7 linked regions of the Xenopus tropicalis genome follow. The protein of the gene in region 4 purifies or fractionates together with the protein of the main gene of each other region. This does not show direct contact. Links are inferred from orthologs where the notes say so. Each region holds a gene or a part of one and is shown on either strand. Other genes may lie near its edges. The genes, in order: u2surp, prpf3, dhx15, sf3a2, smndc1, snrpd1 and phf5a.

Region 1 (4,217 bases), on a different chromosome or scaffold from region 4:
AGGGTAGGGCAGGCAGAGTATGGCACATACAGGCAGCATAGGGCAGGTAGAGTATGGCACACACAGGCAGCATAGGGCAGGCAGAGTATGGCACACACAGGCAGGGTAGGGCAGGCAGAGTATGGCACACACAGGCAGGGTAGGGCAGACAGAGTATGACACACACAGGCAGCACAGGGCATTTAGAGTATGGAACACACAGGCAGCATAGGGCAAGTAAAGTATGGCACACCCAGGCAGGGTAGGGCAGGCAGAGTATGGCACACACAGGCAGGGTAGGGCAGGCAGAGTATGGCACACATAGGCAGGGTAGGGCAGGCAGAGTGCTGCCTGTGTGTGCCATACTCTGTCTGCCCTATGCTGCCTGTGTGTGCCATACTCTGCCTGCCCTTAGCTGCCTGTGTGTGCCATACTCTGCCTGCCTTATGCTGCCTGTGGGAGGTGAACATGGCAAGGGTTTGTTTTGGGAGTTTGTTAGCAGTTGGAAATAGCCATTAAATGATCCCTAAGGTGTGTAATTATGTGCTGGGGGTTGCTATGCTATCCACAGGGGAGGAGGAGGCATATGGATTTCAGGGTATATATTAATATGACATAATATAATTCTTTTACATTTGAATGACAGTAGATATTCCCGCAGTAAGGACCAAGCATTTGGGTTTTTGCTGCGCTACCACCATTGTGATAAAATAGGTGTGGTTTAAAAAAGTGGAGTGGTCAAAAGTGACTTCCATTAGCGGCCCTCCACCATGTATGCGAGAAATTCCGGCCCTTGGCACCGCAGAAGTTGGACAGCACTGGTGTAGACCATAACCACTTAATGTGGAGTGGGTTATGCACTGTACCACTTCATGCGGATGGGAGGGTTTGAACCAAACCACCTGATGTGGACAGGTGTGAGGTCTGTACCACTTGATGTGGATGGACCATACCACTTTATACAAATGGGGGGACCTTACCACTGATACATCTCCAAATAATAATAATATCCTACAGGTTACCGCGTTTTAAACGGATCCGTTGCAGCAGCTCAGTCACTTCTCCGATGGCACAAGGGACATATTTCTGCTACAGAGAAAAGCTGCAACGTCACTAGCCAAATGAAATGCGGCAGCAGAATACTCCGGCATTATAACATATTACTTGCATTAATCAATGCACATGAGAAAACGAATGCCTGCGTGAAATCGCCACAATACATGTAAAAGACACAGTGTAAAGCTCATATCATCACTGCGACAATCACACAAAACACAATTCTGGAGCACGTCGCAAAAGTGACGCAGTTAACAATTGGTCTTGCTGAATGTTTCGGAAATCCATTATCCAGCCTTCTCAGCGTGCGAACTCTCGCCTACTCACATTCATAGCTCTCGGGTATCGATTGCTCGGCCGGGAGGAGGCGGAGATACGCAAGATGGCGGAGAAGACGTCTGGCGGCTCGCAACGAGCGGGGCAAAAGGTGAGCGCTTACTGGGATGCCCCGGCGCTGTGCTGTTTGTATATAGCTTCTGTTTGTGGCGCTCAGGGAAGGGAGGGTACGGGTATTGGCACAGATGCGAAGCCGCAGGCCTGGCTCAGCGATGTGCGCAGGAGTCGAGGCCTGGTCTCCTGGGGAGGCTCATGTACATTGGCTTTGGGGTTGTTATGGGCCTGCAGTTCCGGCTTTAGCAATGGGGCAATTCCAGCAACACATGGGGACCTTTAGCGTGCAGTAGGCGGCCTAGTGCTGGGCAAGCTTTCTGTAGCGCCGGGCAAGCTTTCTGTAGCGCCGGGCAAGCTTTCTGTAGCGCCGGGCAAGCTTTCTGTAGCGCCGGGCAAGCTTTCTGTAGCGCCGGGCAAGCTTTCTGTAGCGCCGGGCAAGCTTTCTGTAGCGCCGGGCAAGCTTTCTGTAGCGCCGGGCAAGCTTTCTGTAGCGCCGGGCAAGCTTTCCGTGAGGCAAAGCGGTGCCGCGCATTGGCTAGAACAGAAGAGAGGAGGGTTGGGAGGATTCTTTGGCGCTCCAGTAGCGTTAGTTCCAAGGCCCGGGGCAGTGTATGTAGAAAGTTGTAGGAGTGCAGTTTCTGGTATATGATATTCCAGCCAAGCTGCTTGCTTTACGGCCTAAGCCAGGGACATGGATGCCACAGTTGTTTGCAGGAAACACAACTAACTGCGACTTTCTGTACTGTAGGAGGCACATCTCACATAGGCTTTCAGAGGGTTTTAGCTCGACAGCAAATAATATATCCAATTCCTAGTGCCTTTTTTTCAACAAACGTAGGATCTAATCAGGTTCCAAACCGACAACATAGAGGGCCATGTATATTTATACTAGTAAACAAACAAACAAGTGGTACCTATGAAGCCGTGTGCATCTCCCTCCAGGTTTCATACTTTTCATCCCTCTTTCTGAAGAAAATTTGTTTTTTTTGTTAATTTGTTTCATAATATTCAGATGACAATATGTGGTGTATTCTAAAGCCCATACATGGGCCAAAAAAATCTGCTCACTTGGCCTCTCCACACAGCAACCTACGGGCCCATATATGGGGCACTTCCAGCATTCTGCCTAAAGTCACCAAATGACTCCCATATACAGGGCCAAATCAAACTAATCATAACGCTGTTCTGTGATGACATAAGGGAACCACATTCAGGCTTTGATACAGTCAACTGCCAAGATTCTCAGTATCAGATACCTGCTGATTTGGTCCTGCAAATGGTCATCATGTTGGGCAAAAATACCCTTGTTTGGGATCTGTTTGTGTGGCCACCCTTGTTTGGGATCTGTTTGGCCACCTTAAATTATACGGCTGCCTCAAGGGGTATAAAAGGGTGCTTTTACCTGCGTAGCACTAACTAGATCAATTATTTAACTGCAGGTATGTCTAATCAGTGCTTTCCTGATGGCTTTGCTTGTGGGATGTTTGCTGAAACCCATTGTTGAGCACAATGAAGTACAGTATGCATTGAAACCTAAAAGGTTTAGGATTCTTATGGGTCTAAGGCTGGTGGCAGTTATTCTGTGGCAACCCTGCTGACCTTACATGTTCAGATTTTAGTCAACTTCCGAAAACATCATATGTTTTAATGCAGTGATCCCCAACCAGTAGCTCGTGAGCAACATGTTGCTCCCAAACCCCTTGGCTGTTGGTCCCAGTGGCCCCAAAGCAGGTGCTCATTTTTTGATAACTTGGCTTGGAGGCAAGTTTTGGTGGCATAAAACCAAGTGAAAAGACAAACAGAGCCTTCTTTAGGCTGCCATTCCACATAGGGGCTTCCAAATAGACAATCATAGCCCTTATTTGGCACCTCCAGGTACCTTTTTCATGCTTGTGTTGCTCCCCAACTCTTTTTACATTTGAATGTTGCTCACGAGTAAAACAGGTTGGGGATCCCTGTTTTAATGCATCGATCTAAAACTAACATTCAGATTTAAATTGTAGGGTAAAGTACTAAAATAATACATTGGAGGGTGGTCTGAACATAAAATAATTGTCAACAGTTGTACCAAAGTGACCTCCCAGAAATGCATTGTAGGTCCCTCAAGGATATCGTCATATCAGACCAAAATTTTCTAACCTACCCAAATGCCTAAACAACTGGTCGCAAGTCTTAGGGGGAGATTTATGAAGACACGAACGCTCGGAGCGTTCATTCGCCAATTTTTTTCGCGTTTGCATGGCTTTTTCGTACGCTTTTTTTTTAGTGTCACTGAGGCCTAACAACTAGATGTATATATGTGTAACAGGTACGTACGTACACATATTTTCAAGTAGACAAACGACCCCTCAGAGACCCCTTAGGCTGGCAGTCACTCAGTCCCTCCCACAACTTATTCTATGCTGTAGTGATGGATTTTGGGAGGTAAATCTAACTGGTTTCAGAGAATCTTTGCATCGCCATTATGTTTTCTCCAGCTTAAATCTCTCTTCAGGTTGGGACTTTTTCTGCTGCCCACTCTGACCAAGCCTCCATGGAAATAATCCAACCCATGGCCTGCCTTCTCACACCTTTATTTGCTTAAAGAGCACCGATCACTGGAATATTTCCCCCCACTGTAGATGTGGCATACTAAAGTCCCCAGCCAGCCCTGTGCTGCCCACACCAGGAGGGAGCTTCCGCTGGGAACAGCCATTCTCAAATGGTTTTGTTTCCCCCAACCAGACGGCAGGTTGTATTACCCTGCACCTCCTGTGCTTCGTTTTACCCCAATAGGTGCATCTGCTTGCTGT
Region 2 (3,500 bases), on a different chromosome or scaffold from region 4:
GCCCAAGAGCTGCAGGACCAATTACAGATATACTACAAGTTAATAGTCAAATTTAAAATGGTAGCTATCAAATGGGGGTTCATATCCCAGCCTTTTCCACAAATCACTGCCTGGTTGCTAGGGTACACACCATATTGTGGCAACCAAATAGGTGATTCAATTCCACTCTGGCAAGCTGGTGAAATGCAAATTCTCCATCTTTGGCAGGCTATTAGAATGTCTTTCTATGACTGCTGCTGGTCTAAAAGTTTGAGAATCTTTACTTATGTTAAATAGCGTTACTCTGGTTCCCCAGTGTTAAAGTGGTATTTATTAGTCCGCTGCCTCCCCTAACAATGCACTTAAACAGAAAAAAAAACCAAGGAAGTGATCTTACTTCTGTCTTTTTGCCATCTGTGCTCTGACATGTGCTTCTACTTTCGTGGGATCCTGGATTGCTTCTGTCCCCAAAACTCGCATGAGATTTGATATCCTCACTGAGAGAAAGAAAAGGAAAGGTTATGGTATGCAGTTGGGAATAGAACTGGGAGTGACTGCCGATAAAGTGGATTCATAAATCCTATTTTTATAATCTGAATTTAGGATCAACACAAAATTACACATTGATGCACAAGGGCATGCTTAATGCAGAACAGCCAATTTGCTTAGTTATTATGATAAAGTACAATGTCTTTTAACCATGACCTGTATTAATACCTACATGGAGCAACCAGGAAACTTACCCTTGGGTTCTGGCGGGGGCATAAGACCCAGGCGCACCTTTTCTTGTAACTCTTTCTGTGCTTCCCTTCTAGTCTGTCGGCGCAACTTTTTCTGTTCCTTTTTCGTCAGGTAAATTCCTAGTGTCACTGGAGCATCTCTGTCAACTGGATACATAGAAAACAGTGCTTAGCACATCTATAGTGAATGTATTTAAGCTGCCCTTCATGTAGTGTGTAGATTTGTGTTGTGCTGAGCAAGTATATGTAGAGGGTCCTAGACCCCAGTGGAACTCCTATACAGACTAAGAAATATCTGAACAAGCCTAAGCAAATATGGATTATAAATTTAGTCCCATGTACAGTCTTATTGGCAGGCGGTTTCATCAAGAAAGATCAAATTAGAAATCCAGTATCTATCTCAGCTGCAAGGCCAGCAACCAAACATTGAACTGGGCACTGCACAGAATTTGTATATATGCTCCCATGTCTGTGTGGGTTTCCTTGCAATTACCAGCTAGATACCAGCAGTTTATTTGACTTCAAATTAAAAAATTAATATGGCTACTTGATTGTGGGAACTTATTGTGTGATGCCCAATGTAAATAATAAACACTCAGTGAATTTACTGTGCTATGTAATCATATTTGATATTTTAAAAAGATAAGGAAAAACAGTATCCTCTGGGTGCTAATATGTAGATATCTACGTGAAAATGATGCAAGTAAATAATTGTGCACTGTTTAATATTTACTGTGCTCTAAAGTACTATCTAAAAAACATAACAGTAAGCATTGCAGCCAGCTCTTGACAGCTTAGCCACTCTGATCATATAAACTTATAAAACAGTCAATAATAATGACAGATACTACAGCTCATAGAATTATTTGCTAGACATTAAATAAGAAACCCTTTCTATCCTGTGTGTCGACATTACCTGGGGGGCTGAGCTGTGCTGGGTGCTCCACGAGATTTGTGATACCGTGAAAATCTTCTCTTTTTAATAAGGCTTCTTCTGTCCTGAAATATAAAAAAGGTGTTAGAAGCCGTGACATGTATTGTTGCAGCAGAAGTGCAGAGAATAAAAACAGGCAGATGATAACAGTTACATTTTAGTAACAGTTACATTCATGAAAGCCAGGGAAAATGTTTAATAAACATATATATTGGAAAGTTGCAAAAAGGGATAATATATAATCCCCTTACGCATAAATTTCTTACTGCAATATTTTTTTGGAATTTTAGAGAAGGCAGCCAAAAGTATAGGAAGCAAAGCTGTATTCCCATGACTATCAGCACTGAAATAGACCATATAAAAAAAATGGAGTGGGCCAAACTTACAGTTCTGTGCCATTAGGTATGATGAAAGAGTCCCACCACTCTATTTCAGGGATCTCTCCTTCTCGCAGCTCCTTTTTGGGAGCAATCAGGGCAAGTCTAGTTGATGTCTGGATACCAGTTTTCTTTGCAGCTTGGGCAATTTCAGCTTGCAGTTTCTCAAGTTGTGACTGTTGAAAAAAAGCTATAGTGAGCATGTTTATTTTGGTACACACTTTATTAGAGGCTACATTCATGAATGATGCTCTGGATACTTTTATTTCAACCACTAAAGGGATTTACTTCGATAAGTAAAAAAAAAAAAAAAAAATTACAAAAAAATACAAAAAAAGTTTATACAAATTAATCTTTTGTTTATATCTCTTAAGAGGTGTAGATATATACACACACACACAAAGCTTCTGTGATAAGGAGACCTCATTCTCTGCTTCATGATTTCTGTCTTTAAGATTAAGCTTTTCAACAGCAGCCCAGAGCACAATGTGCAGTGCCACTGACACTAAAAGGGGGGGTATGGGGTAAACCCGTGGACAATATTTAAAGGCTGGATCATTTCTTTTAGGGCTTTTAGCACAGTTCAGTATATAAAATAGCGTTTTTAACCATTTTTTTTTTTTTTTTGCTTTAGTTCACCTTGAACACTAATTAATAGTCAGAAAGTAGACATTTCCAGCAAATACTACTTTCTGGTAAGTTAGGTAGTTTGTCTACTGCAAAACCGGTTAGTATACCTTCAGATGGTTCATGTGAGGAGAGAAAGTTGCCTAATATATGACTAGAGCTGCATCACAACCATAGTTTAACATTTTGATGGTATACTCAAACCTGACTGTTTAGCAGAGATCCTTAATATTATTTAATACACATCATCATATTTAGAATAAAGTGACCCAGGCAAAAGTAACATGGTAACATGGATCAAGCAGCAGTTTATTCCTCAGTTTTTATTCCTTGTATTGTATTGAAATGGAAGAAAATTTAGCAGCACAACAAAAAAGGGCCACTCTGCCCTATTAATACCTTTGTCCGAAGCCGTTGTGCAATCTTCTCAAACTTGCCCTTTTCGTGGAATTTAAACAACCTTTTCTGGCGCTGTGAAGAGGCAATGGAAACTCTGGGGTCAAAAAACGTATTGGCCTCCAAGTCTTCTGAAGGTTTCTCCTTCAGCTGCTGTTTGAACTGCTCCCTTTTCACTGCCCGGATGTTAGCTTTTAGGGTGGGCATTCGGTGGGTCAGCTCAATCTCCTTTCCAGTTGCATCAACAGTGCGGCCCTGGTCGTCTAAAATTAAAGGCGTGGGCTTCGACTGGTCCTTTAACTCCACTTTACTAGTGAAAGACAAAGAACAAGGTACATCACATGATTGTGTTGCAAGGGTGGCACCAACAGACTGCCCAAGAAACTTTGCTATGAATGACCTTTACTTACGGAGGAGCAATTCCCATGGCGTGAAGGTTAGCCAGCC
Region 3 (2,213 bases), about 71 Mb from region 4:
TTCAGAAGAGCAGAAGCCAAACAAAGAAAAAACGCTGAGCTTTGTAAAGCAAGTTCCCATAAGGCCTCACTCCTGCACCGAGACCGAGACCAAGTGTACATGCTCAGTTAGTTAGAATATGAGTCAGCTTCCTGCTGATTGGCTCAGATCCACATTCCTATGGGGGGGGGGGGGGGGGGGGGAGTTTTTAGCATTCTTGAGGGAGGGGGGAACAGGAGAGGGGAGAGAGCAGAGTGCTGTGTGTCTCTGGCACAGGAATTACAGACAAGAAATCTTTTGACAGAGAACTCAGTGCAGCATTTCTGTGAGTGCTTATGGCTGTATTTACATAGACCTTTCTGATAAAGCTTAGTTTTTCTCTTTCTTTCTCATTTAGAAATTAAAATTCTATTGCAGGTATCATGAGCACAATTAGAAAATGTGTAGTTTAATAACATTCTTCTAGTAGAAACTCCACTTTGTGGCTACAATAAACTGTATTAATAAAGAAAAATGAAAAGTTTTGTATAAATAGACTTTATTGAAGCCAGGGCCCCAGTACTGAGGCTGATGTTTGGGTTTACAGATGCACCAGTTGTAACATTTCACAACTTCTAAAAGGAATGTCAACAGTTACACCAATCATGCGTAAAATTGTGTGATCATATACAGGGATGTGCAACCTGCGGCCATGGAGATAATGAACCGGGGAGGGCGATACTAAGGGGCATTTTTAAATAGGTGTTAAACCGCCAACAACAGCGCTGTTTTAAACACCATAGATCGCCATGTGAAAAGGACAGGGATTTACGAAGCTGTGTAATGATTTTATGCATATGTACAGGCAAACGTGGTATAAAAATAAGTGTTAGCTTAAAAAGAAAAGCTACTGACACTTTTTACACCACTTTAATTTCACTGAGTAGTGCCACGTATGGAACCGTGTCGAGTAATGGTGGGAATTTTGGGCGCTTTGTAATGGCACTAGTAATGGATTCCTGTGCTCACAGTATATGGCATTAATGCAGCCTACATTTTATTTACCACCACTTTTTAGGTGTAAATTATTTAACACCTCTTTTTAAATATGCCCCTAAGAATTCCAGGTCATTATCTGAAGAGCTGCAGGTTACCCTCATATACATATATATTTATATTTTTTTTAGAAGTACTTTCAAACATTTCCTAAGAAATGCCTATAACAATGTTATTTATAGAACTACTTCCAATAAATTGCAACACATTGATTGACTGTTCCAGCACAAGCAACAGTGTTAACACAAAGGGGAGCCATAAAGGTTCAATTGATGAAATAAGAATGTCATATTTACTGTAATGAAAGAAATTAAAAAGCTTATATAAAGGTCGCCACTGGACCAATACATAGTATACAAATGTATCGCTTCTTTCATTCGCTCAAACTGCTCTTCAGACAAGCTAAAACTTGCAAAAGAAAAAAACAACCCCCCCCCACCCCTAACCCCAGAACTCAGTACTGTGAATATTCCTTAGTCTGAAGTTTGGCCACAATGCGCTCCAGTTGCCTCTTTGCTTCACACTGAGGAAAGTTGCTCATGTCGTAATATTGAGCTGCAATTTTCACCAACCTGAAAAAGAAACATTGATTTTCTAAGTAAGGAAAACATTACGCAGATTTATAAAGCCAGAAATTTCACAGAATCAGGCTTTTTGTATAAGGTATATGCAAGTTCATAACAGTCAGATTAGCTTACTGATCGGCAGTTTGCTCAAGATAAATAAAGAGATAAATGTGCCTCTAAGGGTGAAGGCACACGGAGCTATTAGTAGCAGCTACTTGTCCACGGCTACTAAATGCCAGAAAATACTCTGCCATAGACAATACTGAGAATTGCCTCTTATACACAGTTAAGAGTAAATAATCAGCATTGTCTGTTTCTGTGGCCATGACAAGTAGCTGCTACTAGTAGCTGTGTCTTCACCCTAAGGGCAGTGGCATACAGGGAGATTAGTCACCCGTGATAAATCTTCACTACCGTGGGCGACTAATCTCCCTGACATGCCATCCCACCGGCACAAGTGTAAATCGCCAGTGGGATGGCATAGTAGTTTAGTAGTGACAAGTAGCTGCTACTAAGTACGAACACCTACCACTTCTACTACTACTACACATGCTGTGTGCCCCTAAGCTAATTAGCCCATTCTCCAACTTACCATTCAGGCTTTATATCTGTGCATGTGCGGATGTAGTTCTT
Region 4 (4,195 bases):
AAGGCATGTTACAAATACCTCCTTGCATTCAGAAAATATTAGTGATGCCTTTACTGCCAAGCTTTGTTCGAGATGCTGGGAGGTTCCCGCATTTTGGCCAAGCTAAGACCTTGAGTTCACTGTGGGATGCGCATTCCCAAACTGTGCTGTCCCATGTTTTTAATTTTTTTTACTTTGCAAAATGAATGGGATCCCTCACAGCTTATTTTTAGAAAGCCACCCCTGTGAAACTCTCCCATACCTTGTCCTTGACAACTCACAAAACCTCTATTGTGGAAACTCTGTCAGGGATATTGCTGGAATAACCAATGCACCACTCTGTAGTACATATTAAATCAGGAATTCCCAGTAGGATATTGCAGGCCTCAATCCATTTGCACAGAATGCAAAACAATGCAAATATGTTTTGTTTCAATTGACCATGCAAATCTTTGTTATTATAGCTTTGCTTCCTGTAACTAACTCTACTACATACACACAAAATGAGAAACCACATTATATTATTTCAAAGGTGGGATTTTTTTTTAATGATTTAAAACATACCACAAATAAAAAAAACTGGGAAAAATATGCTTATCTTTGAAAAAGAAATACATCAGTTGGTGGGAGGGGGTGGAGGAATATTTGTTGGTCCATCGCTAGGTAAAGGTGGCCTCATCATTGGAGGCATAGGGCCAGGTGGGAGAACACCAGGTGCTGGAGGTGGTACACCTGGCGCTGGTGGAGGAGGTACCCCTGGGGCAGGAGGAGGTGGAACCCCTGGCGTTGGAGGGAGTGGCACACCAGGTGCAGGGGGCGGAGGCACTCCTGGGGCAGGTGGTGGGGGTACACCAGGAGGAGGAATGCCTGGAGGAGGAATGCCTGGAGGTGGAACACCAGGTGGAGGCACAGCAGGATTAGGAGGTGGTGGTACACCAGGTGGTGGTACGCCAGGAGGAGGAAGAGAAGGTGGGGGCACAGGAGGGTGCACCCCAGGAGGAGGAACAACTGGGGCAGGTGGAAGCTGTGGTGGCGGTACAGGAGGTGCAGGTGTCCCAGGTGGCATTGGGGGCATAGGCAGTCCTCCTGGAGGAGGAGGCGGCATATTCTCAGGCATTGGAGGACGTGCTTGTATCCCATTGATGGCTGGAGGAACAGGTCTTTTAACACCAGGTGGTGCTGGAGGCAAAGTGGGTGCTTGTGGAGGCTTCTCCATCTTAAAGTGGAACTGTAGGAAAAACTGAAAGAGAGGGCAAAGGAAAAAGTGTTGAAAAGGTCACATACTGTAGCTCCAAGCCTTTACAAGGTAATCCAGAAGTATTCAGAAATGTGTAGAAAAACTAGAGTGTTACCAAACGGTTTCCGGCAACATTTTTTCGTGTGGATATAACCTTAGCCTTACACTATGATGATCTGATATTTGGCACTATGACTGAGGATTTTTTACAGTGGGGATATTTGTTATTTAAAAATGGAGTGGTGATGTAATCCATTTCAATAAGGGGTACATCACATTCAAATAGTTATTTAGTGTTTTACTTTATACAGTTTATATCTGGGAAGTCCTATATTTGGCTTTTTTTTTTTTTACATTTAGGCTTAAATACATTATGCTGCAATTTTCTCCATTTAGTGCCTATGCCTGTGGTAACTGGTTATACCCGGTGGCTGTATGTAATAATAAACAAAGAATATACTGCCTTTGTTGCAGTTACTACTAACCTACTACAATGTTGTTTAATGGTGATTGTGTATTTGTCTGATATTTATGCATTATTACCTTAAAGACAGGACTGGGGGGTTATTTATTGTTCCTTTATGGCTTTTTACTATACATTTATTTAAATAATATAAAAAAAGAATATTTATACACACAATGTTAAACCTCAGCCTGTTTGGCATTTAAAGAAAAAAGGGTAGGCAAAACTATTAAATTAACTATCCCTATGGCATACTGCAGGACTGTAGGTGTTTTGCCACCCACCCCTGTATAATTTGCAGCTTGGTGGGCAGCTTGTAACTGCCCTTCCATAGACTTTTATAGTGATCACCTGGGCACTGCGTACACAATCACACGTCAGGCAATTATCTTGTCTTGGAGGAAATATGCAAAATGTGCACAAAATGAACACATGTAATTAAGACTACTAGGGTACATACGTGAGGGATCCCCCTTTTGCACAAGATGTATTTTATATTACCTGTTTTGTCTCTCTGTTCCAATGTGTCCAAAACTTTCCCTCCACTTTGTCTATTTCTCGACTTGGGACCTGTTGGATAAAAGAAAAAGTGCTGTAGAAATTCCACAATTGGATACATGGATAAAATAATTCTTGTCAATTTTCAGTAGGTTAGTGCAGGCTGTACTAAAAATATGTCATTTTGCAGAAATGGTGGGTGTTTGGTACGCCTACTGAATCGTATTTGAAGAATATATAATTGTGTTATAAGGTGAGAAGGGTTTTGTATGTGCGAGTTTTTCAAAGTTATGGTTTCAAATGCTAGAGAAAGGCTTGCTCTATAGCTTATCCTACCTTAAAAGCAATAGTTTCATAGGGCTCTGCAGCCATCAGCAGGTACTGCCATCGTCTGTCTGGGGGCTCAATCCTCTGTTCGTATGCAGACATAAAGCGGTGTCGGGGCATGATACCTTCAGCTATCTCAGGATAGTCAATCTGCAGAGAAAGAAAGACAGGGCTGAAGCATCATTACAGCATGGGCACCCCTATAGCATCTGGAGCATCATTGACATATTGGTTATTGTTTTAGGGGTAACATTTATGACAATACTTGTTGTCATCAGTAATATAGAATTTTTTGTAATACAGGTATGGAACCTCTTATCCAGATTGCTTGCGACCCAGGGTTTTCTTTAAATCAACCAAATACAATTGTTTTGTCTCCAATAAGTAACAATTATATTAGTTGGCATCAAGTACAAGGTACTGTTTTATTATTACAGAAAAAGGGACTTTGTTTTTAAAAATCTAAATTATTTGTTTAAAATAGAGTCTAAGAGAGATGGCATATCAGTAAATCACATTATTACCTGAAACAACAAAGACTGCTGGGCCATTTCTGGATCTCTCTGCTTAGTCACTAGAAAATAAATAAATGTATGGCTTTATTATCAGTCAGTGAAATAATATCATTTACTCTTTCACATTCAAGATACAGGGCAGAAACAGCTGCAATGCTGAGTGGCCAAATCAATATCAGTGCAAAAAACATCACTAATGCTGGAAACATTTGCTAACAGGACTTCTAAATGTTTAAAACATTCTAACAGCAGCAACAAAAGGTAGATGAAAGTGTGACTGCATAATTCTGACATCCATCTGAAAGCACCTAGTGATATACCTGCACTGATGGGTGCAGAGGACTGTTGCAAGCAGATGATTAAGCCAAATGTTAGCATAACCAGTCTTCAAACAAAAAGATAGGCTATTAAATGTAAGGGTAATCCACATGTGACTGAGGATACCAAAAAAGATTATTATGTTGGAATCAGGGTTATAAACCACTGCATTCATATAAAAGACATATTGACACAACACTTAATCTCACCCTTGTATCCAGGTCGACCAATTTTGACAAATTTCTTCACTTCTACCTTTACTTTTTCTGGGGCAGGTTGTGCTGGTGCTTCCTTTGCTTCTTTGGCCGCTCGGCGAGCTCTGATCAAAAGGAAAAAAAAAAGTAAGAATGTCTGCAACTGTTCACAAAATGATCTTTAATAAGACAGTGCCAGAGAAATCAGTACAGCAATTTGACACAACTTAAAATGTTTAAAATTAAGGAGAATTAACCATTCCTCTGCCACACCTCTCGATCTGAGAGGTTAAGAGAATGGAGAAAGCCAGAACATTAAAACCTATGGCTCTGGCAGTTACTCCCTTGACTGCAAACACCATACCTTTTATGATCTACCTGCAGCAAGCGGTTAATAACTGTAGATGTTGTGCACAAACCCTGACAAGATGCATGGAGGACTGGTTTTGGTTGGAATTAAAAATGGGTTGGGTGGTTTCCTTTCCTACAATTATCTGTCAAGTTTGGGTTTAGGAAGGAATTCCCACCACAACGTTCAACTGAAGTACAGTTTGGGGGTGGCTATGTTTACATTCTTTAGATAAATAATGGAAACTTTGACTTGACATTGCTGTGTTTTTTAATGCATAAAATCAGCACATTTAACTTACAAATTTGTCTGATG
Region 5 (4,274 bases), on a different chromosome or scaffold from region 4:
CTGTGGGATAATGGCAACAGCACCCACTGCTGGAGGGAAGCGGGGAGCACAGCTCAGGTCCAGGGTCAGAGACCCTCACTGCAAGGAGGTGAAGGCCGACATGGACCCTCCAGTTTAGCTGCCTACACTCAGTGGGCAACATCTGGGGTATAAAACCTTGTTTTAAGGGCTACACAATCCATTATTTTGGATTTGGCCAAACACCCCACAAGGGATTGGACATCCGGCTGTCGGTTACTTTAAAACCACATGACCATAAATAAAGGTGCAGTCAAATCCAAATATTGGCCAAATACAGATCCAACTCCTGGAATAGGTAAAGTACTAGTTTTATGCTCCAAGTGAAATAACTGTGCTGCTGTATATAGCCGTGCCAAGCAGCTCTACAACTGACGAGATTTGCTTCCTTACCACCGACATGGTACATCAAGAGCTTACAATCTAATAAAGCATTAGTTTGCTGCCTGTAGAATGACCGGCAATATATCAGATATTTGGAAGGAATTTTCCTAGGATTGAATAATACACAAAAAGGCACTGGAGCCCTTGGGAGGAAGAAGAACCATAATAAAGACCTGAAGGACAAATCCTGCCAGAATGGTGGATTTGTTCTAAAGGAGAAGTAAACCCTTGTAGTAAGTATCTGGCCCCCTGCATGGAGTCTCCTCCCCCTCCTGTGAATCTGTTACTGGCTTCCAGTTTGAACCCTCCATGTTGGCAATTTGTGCCAGTGTTGTGAGCAGACATGGCCGCCACCAAACACACCCCTTTAATTTAGTCACGTATGATTGGGCAGGGCATCTGGTTAGGGCAGTGGGTCTGTTCCATATGCCTTCTAGGAGGGTTAATTTCTCCTTTAACTGCTTTCCTGACACAAAACGTAGACTCCACAGACCTGAATACATTTCTGCATTACGTTACAGGCAATGACAAAACCATGTTGCCTAGAGACAAGTGTCCCTAAATGTTACTGGCACCCAAAGGGTTAAGGGGAAACAAGATCTTTAGGACAATAAAAATGGGGATTGTGCACTGGAAATGCACCGGGAGCAGTAATAAAACAGAGGAGAATAAGGCTTAGACCTTTATCCCATTTACTGGCCGGGCAGGGCAAACAGAAGCCACAGGCCACGCTATTAACAAGGGAATTACCTGCAAATCTTTCTTTAGTTTCAGTAAATCTTCATTCTCGCCATTGGCCGTTAACGCAGATTCAACCTGTTGCAATTGGGCTTTGTAACCCGCCAGCTGCTTAGCTAAATCTTCTGCCATCTGCAAGGAACCAGCAACGGGAATCAGTCATGTACAGTCACTTTATATTAGAGAATAAAACAATTCCTTCTCTGTATATTTGTATTTATACATATGGGTAGGAGGTGCCATAGTGTTTCCCTTAGACAGTACAGTATGAGGGTACAGCTTATTGTGTGCCCAGAACATTCCTTCTCTGTATATTTGTATTTATACATATGGGTAGGAGGTGCCATAGTGTTTCCCTTAGACAGTACAGTATGGGGGTACAGCTTATTGTGTGCCCAGAACATTCCTTCTCTGTATATTTGTATTTATACATATGGGTAGGGGGTGCCATAGTGTTTCCCTTAGACAGTACAGTATGGGGGTACAGCTTATTGTGTGCCCAGAACATTCCTTCTCTGTATATTTGTATTTATACATATGGGTAGGGGTGCCATAGTGTTTCCCTTAGACAGTACAGTATGGGGGTACAGCTTATTGTGTGCCCAGAACATTCCCTCTCTGTATATTTGTATTTATACATATGGGTAGGAGGTGCCATAGTGTTTCCCTTAGACAGTACAGTATGGGGGTACAGCTTATTGTGTGCCCAGAACATTCCTTCTCTGTATATTTGTATTTATACATATGGGTAGGAGGTGCCATAGTGTTTCCCTTAGACAGTACAGTATGGGGGTGGAGCTTATGTGTGCCCAGAACATTCCTTCTCTGTATATTTGTATTTATACATATGGGTAGGGGTGCCATAGTGTTTCCCTTAGACAGTACAGTATGGGGGTACAGCTTATTGTGTGCCCAGAACATTCCCTCTCTGTATATTTGTATTTATACATATGGGTAGGGGGTGCCATAGTGTTTCCCTTAGACAGTACAGTATGGGGGTACAGCTTATTGTGTGCCCAGAACATTCCTTCTCTGTATATTTGTATTTATACATATGGGTAGGAGGTGCCATAGTGTTTCCCTTAGACAGTACAGTAATGGGGGTACAGCTTATTGTGTGCCCAGAACATTCCTTCTCTGTATATTTGTATTTATACATATGGGTAGGGGGTGCCATAGTGTTTCCCTTAGACAGTACAGTATGGGGGTACAGCTTATTGTGTGCCCAGAACATTCCCTCTCTGTATATTTGTATTTATACATATGGGTAGGAGGTGCCATAGTGTTTCCCTCAGACAGTGGGAGGGAAGGGATAAGGGACAGGAATGAGTAGGAATGGGTTGGGGACAAACTACAGGACCAGTCCCGGTTCCGAGTGAATGAGGGGTGAGTACAAACATAAGTGGCCAATGGGGTGTCGGTAGGGGGGAGGGATGGGGGGGGGGGGCTCAGACACACAGTACAAGGCCCATGAGGCCGGACGCCCCGGGGGTAACGCTATAGAGACAGGGGCTGCCCAGCACCACACTATAAGCCAACTCCGACCCCCCCGACCCTCAGTAACCCAGCCCCGGGCCGCTCAGCCGCCCAATCCCCCGGTTTCCCGCTCCGGTCACTCACCGCGTCGCTCTCCGTCTCACAAACACTCACTTCCCGGCAGCCCCTCCTCTTCTCGCGAGAATTCCGGGCTCTCGCACTTGCCCAGACGCCCCGCCCCCGGCTCTTACGCACGCAGAGACGGTTGCCATGGCGACCAGGGGAGAAGCCAAAGTGGCGTCGGTTGCGCTCTAGGGGGAGGGGCAAGAATACGAGAGCCGCCTGTGAGAGAGTCTGTGTGAGGGTTGTCGGGTTGGTGGTTTTCCCGCCAAATTGGGCTACTAGCCCAAGGTACAGTTCTGGGTTATTGTTTGGAGCCTTGGCGGGTTTGTAGTTTATAAAGTAGCCAAAGTTTTTTTTCCCCTCTAGTGTGCCTGTCCCACTGCATGCTGGGTAATGTAGTTTGTATGTAACAATTAGCCTACAGCTAGTAATGATATAAAACTACAATACCCAGCATGCAATTGGACAGTATAGACATTCTGTTTTGTATTCCTTTTTGCTGTTTCAGGCTCAACCTGTCTATTCTACCCCCTGCTCCCTGCTCTATAGGGTATGTGATTGTACTGTTACTTTCTACTGGGATGTGGGGCAGTTCTACCCCCTGCTCTATAGGGTATGTGATTGTACTGTTACTTTCTACTGGGATGTGGGGCAGTTCTACCCCTGCTCTATAGGGTATGTGATTGTACCGTTACTTTCTACTGGGATGTGGGGCAGTTCTACCCCCTGCTCCCTGCTCTATAGGGTATGTGATTGTACTGTTACTTTCTACTGGGATGTGGGGCAGTTCTACCCCCTGCCCCCTGCTCTATAGGGTATGTGATTGTACTGTTACTTTCTACTGGGATGTGGGGCAGTTCTACCCCCTGCTCTATAGGGTATGTGATTGTACTGTTACTTTCTACTGGGATGTGGGGCAGTTCTACTCCCTGCTCTATAGGGTATGTGATTGTACTGTTACTTTCTACTGGGATGTGGGGCAGTTCTACCCCCTGCTCTATAGGGTATGTGATTGTACCGTTACTTTCTACTGGGATGTGGGGCAGTTCTACCCCCTGCCCCCTGCTCTATAGGGTATGTGATTGTACTGTTACTTTCTACTGGGATGTGGGGCAGTTCTACCCCCTGCTCTATAGGGTATGTGATTGTACTGTTACTTTCTACTGGGATGTGGGGCAGTTCTGCTATAACTCTCAGGGTATCTTGGGGCTTCTGAGAGTTGTAGTCCAACGCACCCGTATGTATATCATATCTGGGGTTAATACAACATTCTGAATTCATTGCTGTAGTGACTTCCCAGTGGGACTGGGCACAGAGGGAATAATCAGCCACCCCAGTAACTGGAGAGGGGGCACAGGGCTTGGGTAGGGATTATACGCTTTAAAAAGGCAGATTTTTCCAAATACTTTTCTATTTTTTTAGATTTCTTTTCATTGCGCATATTGGGCTATTTTTGGGCTACTTTTAAAGTGGCTTTTGGCTGGTTTTGGGCTGGTTTTAGAACTGACTGGGCTAGTTTGGAAAAGTAAATCTGC
Region 6 (4,221 bases), on a different chromosome or scaffold from region 4:
TCCTGGTGGGGGGCGGCCTAGTGCAGACAGACTTTAAAAAAAACCCAAAAACTACTGCATCTCCCAACCAGAGTGTGGGCTCTATTAGCCTGCAACTTTGGTGGGGAAGCAATTTTAGCGCGATCGGTGCCCTTTAAGGTAAACGTATGACAAATTAAAAGAACATCTTTGAAAAAGGTTTTGTTGCATTTGGTTGTACCCTATGGTATGATAAAATCTGACAGGTCCCCCTGCCCACAACAGACTGGCCCATTCTATTTGACCAAAATTTTGGTAACTAAAAATAGCTGTTGACTTTCTCCCGGATGAGATGTCTCTGTCAAGTTGTTGTCCCATGTCCAAACAAATTTGTGGTAACATGAAAGAACACAACAGAATAGGTTGGAGATGTGAATAGGCATTGCAAGCAGGGGCAGAATATTTTGTAAACTAAGGGCTGTGGCAGACGGGGAGATTAGTCGCCACTCGACAAATCTCCCCGAAATGCCATCCCACCGGCTAGAATGTAATTCCCGGTGGGACGGCATACATGGCGCAGAAATTGCCGAAGTTCCTTTGCAACTTCGGCAAATCGCCCTGCCGCATATGCCACTGCATCGGCGATTTACATTCTAGTCGGTGGGATGGCATTTTGGGGAGATTAGGTGCCCCTGGTTTAAAAATTAGCACTGAGTACCATAAACTGGGAAGTTGTCCAATGGCTGAACACAACAGTAATCACAGATTAGTATCACTGTTATTTGCAGTTATTGGTGCTTTACTAGGGCATCCAACAAAATTTAAAGGAGGCATATAGGATTAACAAAAATATTCTCTTAGTTCCCTGTTTCAAATGAGGGAGGGGGGCGTGTCCTAACGGTCCCTGCCATAAACACAGTAGGAGGGGGGGTTGCCAATCACAGCCCTGCACTCACACAAAGGAAGGCTTCAGCTCCCTATCAGGTTTGCCTAGATCAGGGATCCCCAACCTTTTTTTATCCGTGAGTCACATTCAAATATAAGAAGACTTGGGGAGCAAAACAGGCATAATACATGTTCCTTTGGTTACTAAATAAGGACTGTTATTGGCTATTTGGTAACCCCTATATGGACTGAAAAACCTACAGGATGTTCTGTTTGGCAGCATATCTGGTTTTTATGCAACCAAAACATGCCTCAAAGCCCATAATTCAAAAATAAGCACCTGTTTTAAAGCCACTGGGAGCAACATCCAAGGGGTTGGAGAGCAACATGTTGCTCACGAACCACTGGCCTAGATGCAGCCTGGGAAAAGAAGGCAGCAGGTAGTAAAACAGGTGGGTGGGGCTAGTGGGTTTTTGGGCGAAAATTTCAATAAACGCTACTTTTCTTAGCACATTCCATCAAAATAAAACTTACTGCACAGAAGCCAAGTCTTAGCAACAAAAGACAGCAGAAGTTATGTAACCTATGCTGCCGGAACTGTATTTTTGAGGTGACACGCATGTGTATATGACAAGACCTACACTCTGTATTCAAAACAGCATGGCTTCACCGACTTACAGAGAAGACACATTGACCAGAACCAGTCCCTGCTCTTTGCACCACAGGGGTTACTAATACACAGCCAATTATGATCAGAGTCAAACCACAATTGTGGGGAAGCTTCCCCTTTTCTACATATTCCCCACCGGACCTACCTCCTACCAATAAATGTTCACCCTGACCCACAGATCCAAATGCTCATAAGTGTGAGACCAATCAGAGGAGCTGGCTGAAGTTGCCATATCCAGCACTGGGGTGCATGCTAGACTTTCAGTAATTCACATTATTTAATGCCAGCTTGCAAATGGTTCCACCTGCCCACTGGGCAATCATGGATGCACACAGCTTATTTATATATTAAGTCTGAGAAAATTCATTATTTCCCACCAGTAACACCTTTGCTAGTAGTATATAAACCAATACACACTGAAGCAAGACAAAATGGTATGTCTCTTTTATAAAGATATTATCAATAAGTATTTCCATTGTGCACATTAAGTACACATAGCAATGTTATGGTATATATTTATGTGCCCCTCTGTATTACCTGTGATCGTGCCATGCACTTGGGTTCCGTTCTTAAGTTCCACTGTGACAGTTTCATGACTTAATTTCATCAAAAACCTATGAGAAAAAAAAACAAAAGCGTTCATGGCCAGCCGCTCGTGATGAACCCATTAGTTACACAGTTTATATTACAACGCAGACTCGCTAATACATTATTATCCGACGGAGCCTTTACTTCCCGCCGTAATCTTCTACTTACACAAAGCTCTCAAACGTAACTCTCAATCCACCACCATCCTCTGTGAAGGAACCCATAACAATCTAAACGCTTACCTAACTAACTTCATGACTTCTTAATACGAACGCGGATCCGACTCCTTCGGCCAGAAAAGGGTTATAGGACTGGCAAAATGAAACGCGAAAATTTACTTTTAGACCCTCCGAATTCTCATTGAGCGAAAGCAACGTTCCAGCGGAAATCGGCACCTACGTCAGATCCGGAAGCGGAAGCCCCAGTCGAGGGCGGAAGTTTTTGTTACATGTGTAATAGAAGATGAAAACGCTAGCCTGTCTCCACGTAGAAAAAGGAGAATTACATTTTCGACTTTTAAAAAGCAATACTATAAGGGGAGGCCTACACTGCAGTTAAGATACTTGCTTAAATAAAATGCACAAAGCGGCGTTCCAGCGAAGCCTTTTATGCTTGTGGATTACTTAAAATTTCGTCTAATACAGCGCAATGCATTTATAAAGAAATACTGTTGTAATAAAAACTTAGCATACATAGCTGAGCTAAAGTCAACTGGTGCATTTAATTCAACAGAAACGCTACAACACCATCGGGGCGGGGCCGAAGTAGAAGAGGGCGTGGTATTGAAGCTAAATTTCATTTTGGATCTAGGTTGGCCATTGGCATTGCATGGCATGAAAATAAGTATTCTCACTATTAAACTTTATTTTTAGGTAAAAGTTAATGTTTCGTTTTCTGAAGACAACATCCCTTTACCTGCTTACCTGCCACTGCATTTTTTTTTTTTTACATGCTTTTGATATGCTGTCTGCAATCCCCATTGTTAGAGACCTTTAGACAACTAGTGCTGAGGTTTGAATCTTCCGTAGGGACCCATAGGGTTAAGCTCCCCTATGGCTTTAAATCCTACCTCTTCTGATTTTGTACTGTTACTGGGCAACAGGGCCGGAACTAGGGGTAGGCAGAAGAGGCAGCTGCCTCGGGCGCAACGATTGGGGGGCGCCAGACAGGAGCCTCTTCTGCCTACCCCTAGTCCTGCTACTTGTCATTGCCCCCACCGCTTGTAATTAGTGGTGGAGGCAATGACCGATTGGATTGCACCCCCCCCCCTTGCGTTTGTTTTGGCGCCATTCGGGGAGAGGGGGAGTGGCCAAATGCCTAAGCACACGCAAGGGGGTGGGGGGTGGCCAACCGGGTTGCCTAGGGCGCCTGGTCAGCTTGGCCCGCCCCTGCTGGGCAAAGTCCCATGTATATAGTTTACACCTTATTGGTTATTTGGGTTGATCACACCCCTTGCAGTCTCATATAGTGTCTAGCAAGGAGATGTGACTTTCTCTTTGGCTGCCTTCTGAATCTCAAGGAACAGCTCCACTGAGCCTGGGACCACTACACCCTTACTCCGCATGGTCTCTTCCACCTAGCGAAGGCCCATTTTGTCTAAGAGAGTCGCATGTAGCCCATGCTCTAAACCTAACACTAGCATGGGTTTTGTCTATATATAGCCAAACAAGCGTTACACTTCACTTCTTGGACCCAATACCCTCACAATGAGTACTACTTAAAGCACTGATCCCCAACCAGTGGCTCAGGAGCAATATGTTGCTCACCAACCCCTTGGATGTTGCTCCCAGTGGCCTCAAAGCAGGTGCTTATTTTTGAATTTCTGGTTAGGAGGCAAGTTTTGGTTGAATAAAAACCAAGTATAATGACAAACAGAGCCTTGTGTAGGCTGCCAGTCCACATAGGGCTACCAATAGCCAATCATAGCTCTCATTTGCCACCCCCAGGATTATTTTTATGCTTGTGTTGCTCCTCAACACTTTTTCCATTTGAATGTATAAAAGGTTGGGGATGTAACCTATAAAGGCTGGAGTGAGCAGATGTCTAACATAACAGCCAGAAACTCTACTTCCTGCCACATGGGATATAACTGTTCAAGTTAGTTTGTGAGCACGCAGGAC
Region 7 (4,296 bases), on a different chromosome or scaffold from region 4:
AGAGTGCCATTGAGCCCTATGGGAGACTTTCCTTGGGCCAGGTTGGAGCTGCAGAGTGCCATTGAGCCCTATGGGAGACTTTCCTTGGCCGGGTTGGAGCTGCAGAGTGCCATTGAGCCCTATGGGAGACTTTCCTTGGGCCAGGTTGGAGCTGCAGAGTGCCATTGAGCCCTATGGGAGACTTTCCTTGGGCCAGGTTGGAGCTGCAGAGTGCCATTGAGCCCTATGGGAGACTTGCCTTGGGCCAGGTTGGAGCTGCAGAGTGCCATTGAGCCCTATGGGAGACTTTCCTTGGGCCAGGTTGGAGCTGCAGAGTGCCATTGAGCCCTATGGGAGACTTGCCTTGGGCCAGGTTGGAGCTGCAGAGTGCCATTGAGCCCTATGGGAGACTTTCCTTGGGCCAGGTTGGAGCTGCAGAGTGCCATTGAGCCCTATGGGAGACTTTCCTTGGGCCAGGTTGGAGCTGCAGAGTGCCATTGAGCCCTATGGGAGACTTTCCTTGGGCCAGGTTGGAGCTGCAGAGTGCCATTGAGCCCTATGGGAGACTTTCCTTGGGCCAGGTTGGAGCTGCAGAGTGCCATTGAGCCCTATGGGAGACTTTCCTTGGGCCAGGTTGGAGCTGCAGAGTGCTATTGAGCCCTATGGGAGACTTTCCTTGGGCTGGGTTGGAGCTGCAGAGTGCCATTGAGCCCTATGGGAGACTTTCCTTGGGCCGGGTTGGAGCTGCAGAGTGCCATTGAGTCCTATGGGAGACTTTCCTTGGGCCGGGTTGGAGCTGCAGAGTGCCATTGAGCCCTATGGGAGACTTTCCTTGGGCCAGGTTGGAGCTGCAGAGTGCCATTGAGCCCTATGGGAGACTTTCCTTGGGCCGGGTTGGAGCTGCAGAGTGCCATTGAGCCCTATGGGAGACTTTCCTTGGGCCAGGTTGGAGCTGCAGAGTGCCATTGAGCCCTATGGGAGACTTTCCTTGGGCCGGGTTGGAGCTGCAGAGTGCCATTGAGCCCTATGGGAGACTTTCCTTGGGCCAGGTTGGAGCTGCAGAGTGCCATTGAGTCCTATGGGAGGCTTCCAAAATCATGCACAGAAGGATCAAAGTCAGAAAGATTTTCCCACATTTTACGACTGTTCAAATATAAATATATATATCGTAAAGATCCGATTTTATTATATTCTTAAATACAAATTTTTCGTACTTCAAAAAGCATGATACAAAAAAACGTATTTGATACGATTTTTTTTGTATCATGCTTTTTAAACGTATGAACATCGTACTTCGATAAATCTGCCCCATAGAATATATTTTAATTGCATTTTCTTTATTGTACTTTATTTTTGGCAAAGTATGTTTAGCTGTAGACTGCCCCTTTAAAGGAAACAGTACTATGGGGCCGAAAAAACGCAAATCTTTTATAAAGCGAAACGCCTATTAACAGGATATCCGGTGTAAAAGTTCATCGCACAAGAAGGAAGAGAAGCGTCTAAGCGATTCTTTAACCAATTGGAACCCACAAGCTAAGTTTCCTAGGCGTAACAGCAAGGAAATGACGTAAAGTCCATGGGCGAGAAAGAGGCTTGGAACACAGAACTGGAGTGAACGCGCGGCCGGCGAAGGAAAGGAATTTAAACAGACATGGCGAAGCATCATCCAGATTTGATTTTTTGCAGAAAACAGGCGGGCGTGGGTGAGTTGCGCTGGGTAATGTGTTCGGTGTAACGGTGTAAAACTGAGGACAGAAAACTCTCCTCTCGTAGGCATTATAGATTGGCCGTTTCTATTGATTGCCTTTCTAAATCATTCGGATAGCACGTTCGGTACTTGTGTATACTCTCCTTGTATGCGTATGTAACAGGTATATGTGTTCCCTCACAGGGCTTCATTAACCCTCTTTTATTTGTTATCCACAATACTTCAGTTTTATAATTGTTATGTATATTTATGTTTCAGATTGTAGTTTGAGAGGTGGAGCTTGAACCTGATCTAGTTATACGCTGAATGCTAACTCCTTGATTATTGCAATTCTACTAAAGCACAATCTGACTTTCCTATTTAAACTCATGCAACAGAACTTGTCCTATATTTGCAGAAATCTGCAGAGAAACCTAACTTCTTATTTAAGGGAAATGTTGATTATTATAATTACAGAGGTGATCTGCACAGTAATGTTACTATTGAAGTGCTTTCCAACATGAATTTCTTATGTTATGAATGTGAGGGAAAATGACAAAACACAATGTTTAGGTGCATCGAATGGGTGAGATTACTCTGTGACCTGTGTAATGGCAAAAAAACAGCGTGCTATAGAAACACAGATTTGTATTTTTTATTTTTTTTTAATGTTTTCCTTTTTCTAAAGCTACATTGTATTTAACATAACAGATAATGAATTCTAAAGCTTAGGGCTTTCATTGTTGTGGACCTCCTGGTAATCTGATACTATACATGCAATGATACGTCGGTACATACAATACTGAAACAGTTCCAGCCAATACCATTTGAGGTTAATTAATGCCTTACTGAATTTATAAATTAATTTCATGTTTGTACTGGCAAGTTGTTGGAGCTAGTAAAGCTAGTCTTTACTACAGCTTTCAAAGGACATGTAAACCATTTATCTTCCTACCACGTATATAAGTTGGCACATACCCCCCCCCCCAACCAAACTTTACCATTTGTACTGCATATAACCCCTCTGTTTGCCAAAACCATCACATTTTCCTAAAGCAAATAGCAGCTTTACCCGGTGGCCATATTCTCTCTCGCACATCTTTAGTGACATTAAAGGAGAAAAAAATGTTAGGCAGCCCCACGTGGCTTTAATCGCTTACTTTTTACCCTGTGTGGTGCCCCTGTTAGGAGAAAACCGCACCAGCACTGGGTAGCTGTGAGCAAGTGTCTCCTCTTCCTTCTCATCAAAATCCCTGGGCCGGTGCATGTGCAGTAGAGTGAAAAGCCGACTTTTTTGTTAAAGTTTGGCTTTTCACTCTACTGCGCAAGTGCGCAAAGAAAGAAGAGGAGACCACACTCGCAGCTACCCCAGGCTGGTGCGTTTTTCTCCTAACAGGGGCACCAGCCCGGGGTAAAAGGAAAGCAATTAAAGTCACTTGGGGGTGCCTAACGTTTTGACACCCCCAAGTGACTTAGCCTTTCCTTTTCCTTTAACATCTGTAAATTGCACATATTAAAGTTACTTTAACAAGAAGTCCTGCTTGGATTGTGCCCTGTAACCGTAAACTGAGCTCCAGCAGATTACACAGCGAGAGCAGCGTTTCTAGGGAAACCAGCAGTGATCTCTTCATTGGCTGCTAGACTGGAGGCTGTGTTTGGTAACCTGAGTTAAGAAGAACTGAGCATGCTCGTTAGCCACCAGCCGAAGTCAATTCATAAGGGATGGGGCAGAGCGGGTTAGAGGAGGAAAAGAAATCCTAAGTGATTAAGGGGATACTGCAGCCTTTCTATTAACCGTTTGAACAACAGGAGTGGCAGGTATTTAAAGATTTCAATGAGGCTGTTCACTGATTACATTTTTGTTTGTTTTACATGTCCTTTAAAGCATTTTAGATATTTAAGATATGTGTACAACATGATGACCACTGTTTAATATATATATATATATATATATATATATATATATATATATATATATAAACACTTACATTTATAATTTTCTATTGCAGCTATTGGAAGACTCTGTGAAAAATGTGAGTATATATAATTCTTAAACTTTTAAAATATAAATTGCATTTGTTCATATGCAAAAAATGTTTCACCTTTGTCTTCTTTGTGCAACTGATTATTTCTCAACAAGCAATGGTTTTTAAGTGTTGCTGCCAGTCCTATATCTGATATCTCTGATATATCTGATTATATATTCTATATTCAGCAGTTGTATTACATTAGACATTATTAAAAAAATGACATTGCTTAACATCTGCTGAGTGGGGAAAATCAAGAATTTACAGTCTGTTTAAAAGTGTGTGTAGTTGTGGGGTGCATGTAAGGTTAGACTTAAGGTCCTCATACACCATAAGATCCGCTCGCTTGGCGATGTCGCCAAGCGAGCGGATCTTCTCCCGATATCCCCCACCTATGGGTGGGCGATATCGGGAGAATCCAGGGTAATTCGATCCCTGGGGCCAAATGATCGAATTATAACAGCAGGTATAGGAAAAGTCGGTCCGGGGACTGCATCAATGAGCCGATGCGGTCCACGATCCAACTAGATTTTCTAACCTGCCCCATCGAGATCTGGCCAATTTGAGGCCAGATATCGGTCGGGCAGGCCTGTTGGGAGTGCG

What was found.
Region 1: the proteins of sf3a2 (region 4) and u2surp purify together in Homo sapiens (affinity purification with mass spectrometry; 3 studies listed by BioGRID, with this or other methods). This does not show direct contact. The link is inferred for Xenopus tropicalis from reciprocal best matches to the Homo sapiens genes SF3A2 and U2SURP.
Region 2: the proteins of sf3a2 (region 4) and prpf3 purify together in Homo sapiens (affinity purification with mass spectrometry; 3 studies listed by BioGRID and IntAct, with this or other methods). This does not show direct contact. The link is inferred for Xenopus tropicalis from reciprocal best matches to the Homo sapiens genes SF3A2 and PRPF3.
Region 3: the proteins of sf3a2 (region 4) and dhx15 purify together in Homo sapiens (affinity purification with mass spectrometry; 4 studies listed by BioGRID and IntAct, with this or other methods). This does not show direct contact. The link is inferred for Xenopus tropicalis from reciprocal best matches to the Homo sapiens genes SF3A2 and DHX15.
Region 5: the proteins of sf3a2 (region 4) and smndc1 purify together in Homo sapiens (affinity purification with mass spectrometry; 4 studies listed by BioGRID and IntAct, with this or other methods). This does not show direct contact. The link is inferred for Xenopus tropicalis from reciprocal best matches to the Homo sapiens genes SF3A2 and SMNDC1.
Region 6: the proteins of sf3a2 (region 4) and snrpd1 purify together in Homo sapiens (affinity purification with mass spectrometry; 4 studies listed by BioGRID and IntAct, with this or other methods). This does not show direct contact. The link is inferred for Xenopus tropicalis from reciprocal best matches to the Homo sapiens genes SF3A2 and SNRPD1.
Region 7: the proteins of sf3a2 (region 4) and phf5a purify together in Homo sapiens (affinity purification with mass spectrometry; 5 studies listed by BioGRID and IntAct, with this or other methods). This does not show direct contact. The link is inferred for Xenopus tropicalis from reciprocal best matches to the Homo sapiens genes SF3A2 and PHF5A.

What each region holds. Positions count from the first base shown.
Region 1 is NC_030681.2:119,887,916-119,892,132, forward strand, and holds the start of u2surp (U2 snRNP-associated SURP motif-containing protein), read left to right. Parts: upstream 1-1,417; coding exon 1,418-1,462; intron 1,463-4,217.
Region 2 is NC_030684.2:127,691,370-127,694,869, forward strand, and holds part of prpf3 (U4/U6 small nuclear ribonucleoprotein Prp3), read right to left. Parts: coding exon 3,464-3,500; intron 3,364-3,463; coding exon 3,057-3,363; intron 2,207-3,056; coding exon 2,040-2,206; intron 1,719-2,039; coding exon 1,636-1,718; intron 867-1,635; coding exon 723-866; intron 477-722; coding exon 377-476; intron 1-376. UniProt on the Homo sapiens protein: Plays a role in pre-mRNA splicing as component of the U4/U6-U5 tri-snRNP complex that is involved in spliceosome assembly, and as component of the precatalytic spliceosome (spliceosome B complex).
Region 3 is NC_030677.2:31,415,087-31,417,299, forward strand, and holds the end of dhx15 (pre-mRNA-splicing factor ATP-dependent RNA helicase DHX15), read right to left. Parts: coding exon 2,173-2,213; intron 1,587-2,172; coding exon 1,469-1,586; 3' UTR 501-1,468; downstream 1-500.
Region 4 is NC_030677.2:102,623,189-102,627,383, forward strand, and holds the end of sf3a2 (splicing factor 3A subunit 2), read right to left. Parts: coding exon 4,182-4,195; intron 3,657-4,181; coding exon 3,547-3,656; intron 3,079-3,546; coding exon 3,029-3,078; intron 2,655-3,028; coding exon 2,514-2,654; intron 2,250-2,513; coding exon 2,181-2,249; intron 1,220-2,180; coding exon 596-1,219; 3' UTR 501-595; downstream 1-500. UniProt on the Homo sapiens protein: Component of the 17S U2 SnRNP complex of the spliceosome, a large ribonucleoprotein complex that removes introns from transcribed pre-mRNAs.
Region 5 is NC_030683.2:2,911,965-2,916,238, reverse strand, and holds the start of smndc1 (survival of motor neuron-related-splicing factor 30), read right to left. Parts: upstream 2,801-4,274; 5' UTR 2,761-2,800; intron 1,273-2,760; coding exon 1,153-1,272; intron 1-1,152. UniProt on the Homo sapiens protein: Involved in spliceosome assembly.
Region 6 is NC_030682.2:65,070,037-65,074,257, forward strand, and holds the start of snrpd1 (small nuclear ribonucleoprotein Sm D1), read right to left. Parts: upstream 2,801-4,221; 5' UTR 2,358-2,800; coding exon 2,344-2,357; intron 2,128-2,343; coding exon 2,051-2,127; intron 1-2,050. UniProt on the Homo sapiens protein: Plays a role in pre-mRNA splicing as a core component of the spliceosomal U1, U2, U4 and U5 small nuclear ribonucleoproteins (snRNPs), the building blocks of the spliceosome.
Region 7 is NC_030680.2:120,351,134-120,355,429, forward strand, and holds the start of phf5a (PHD finger-like domain-containing protein 5A), read left to right. Parts: upstream 1-1,496; 5' UTR 1,497-1,630; coding exon 1,631-1,682; intron 1,683-3,675; coding exon 3,676-3,699; intron 3,700-4,296.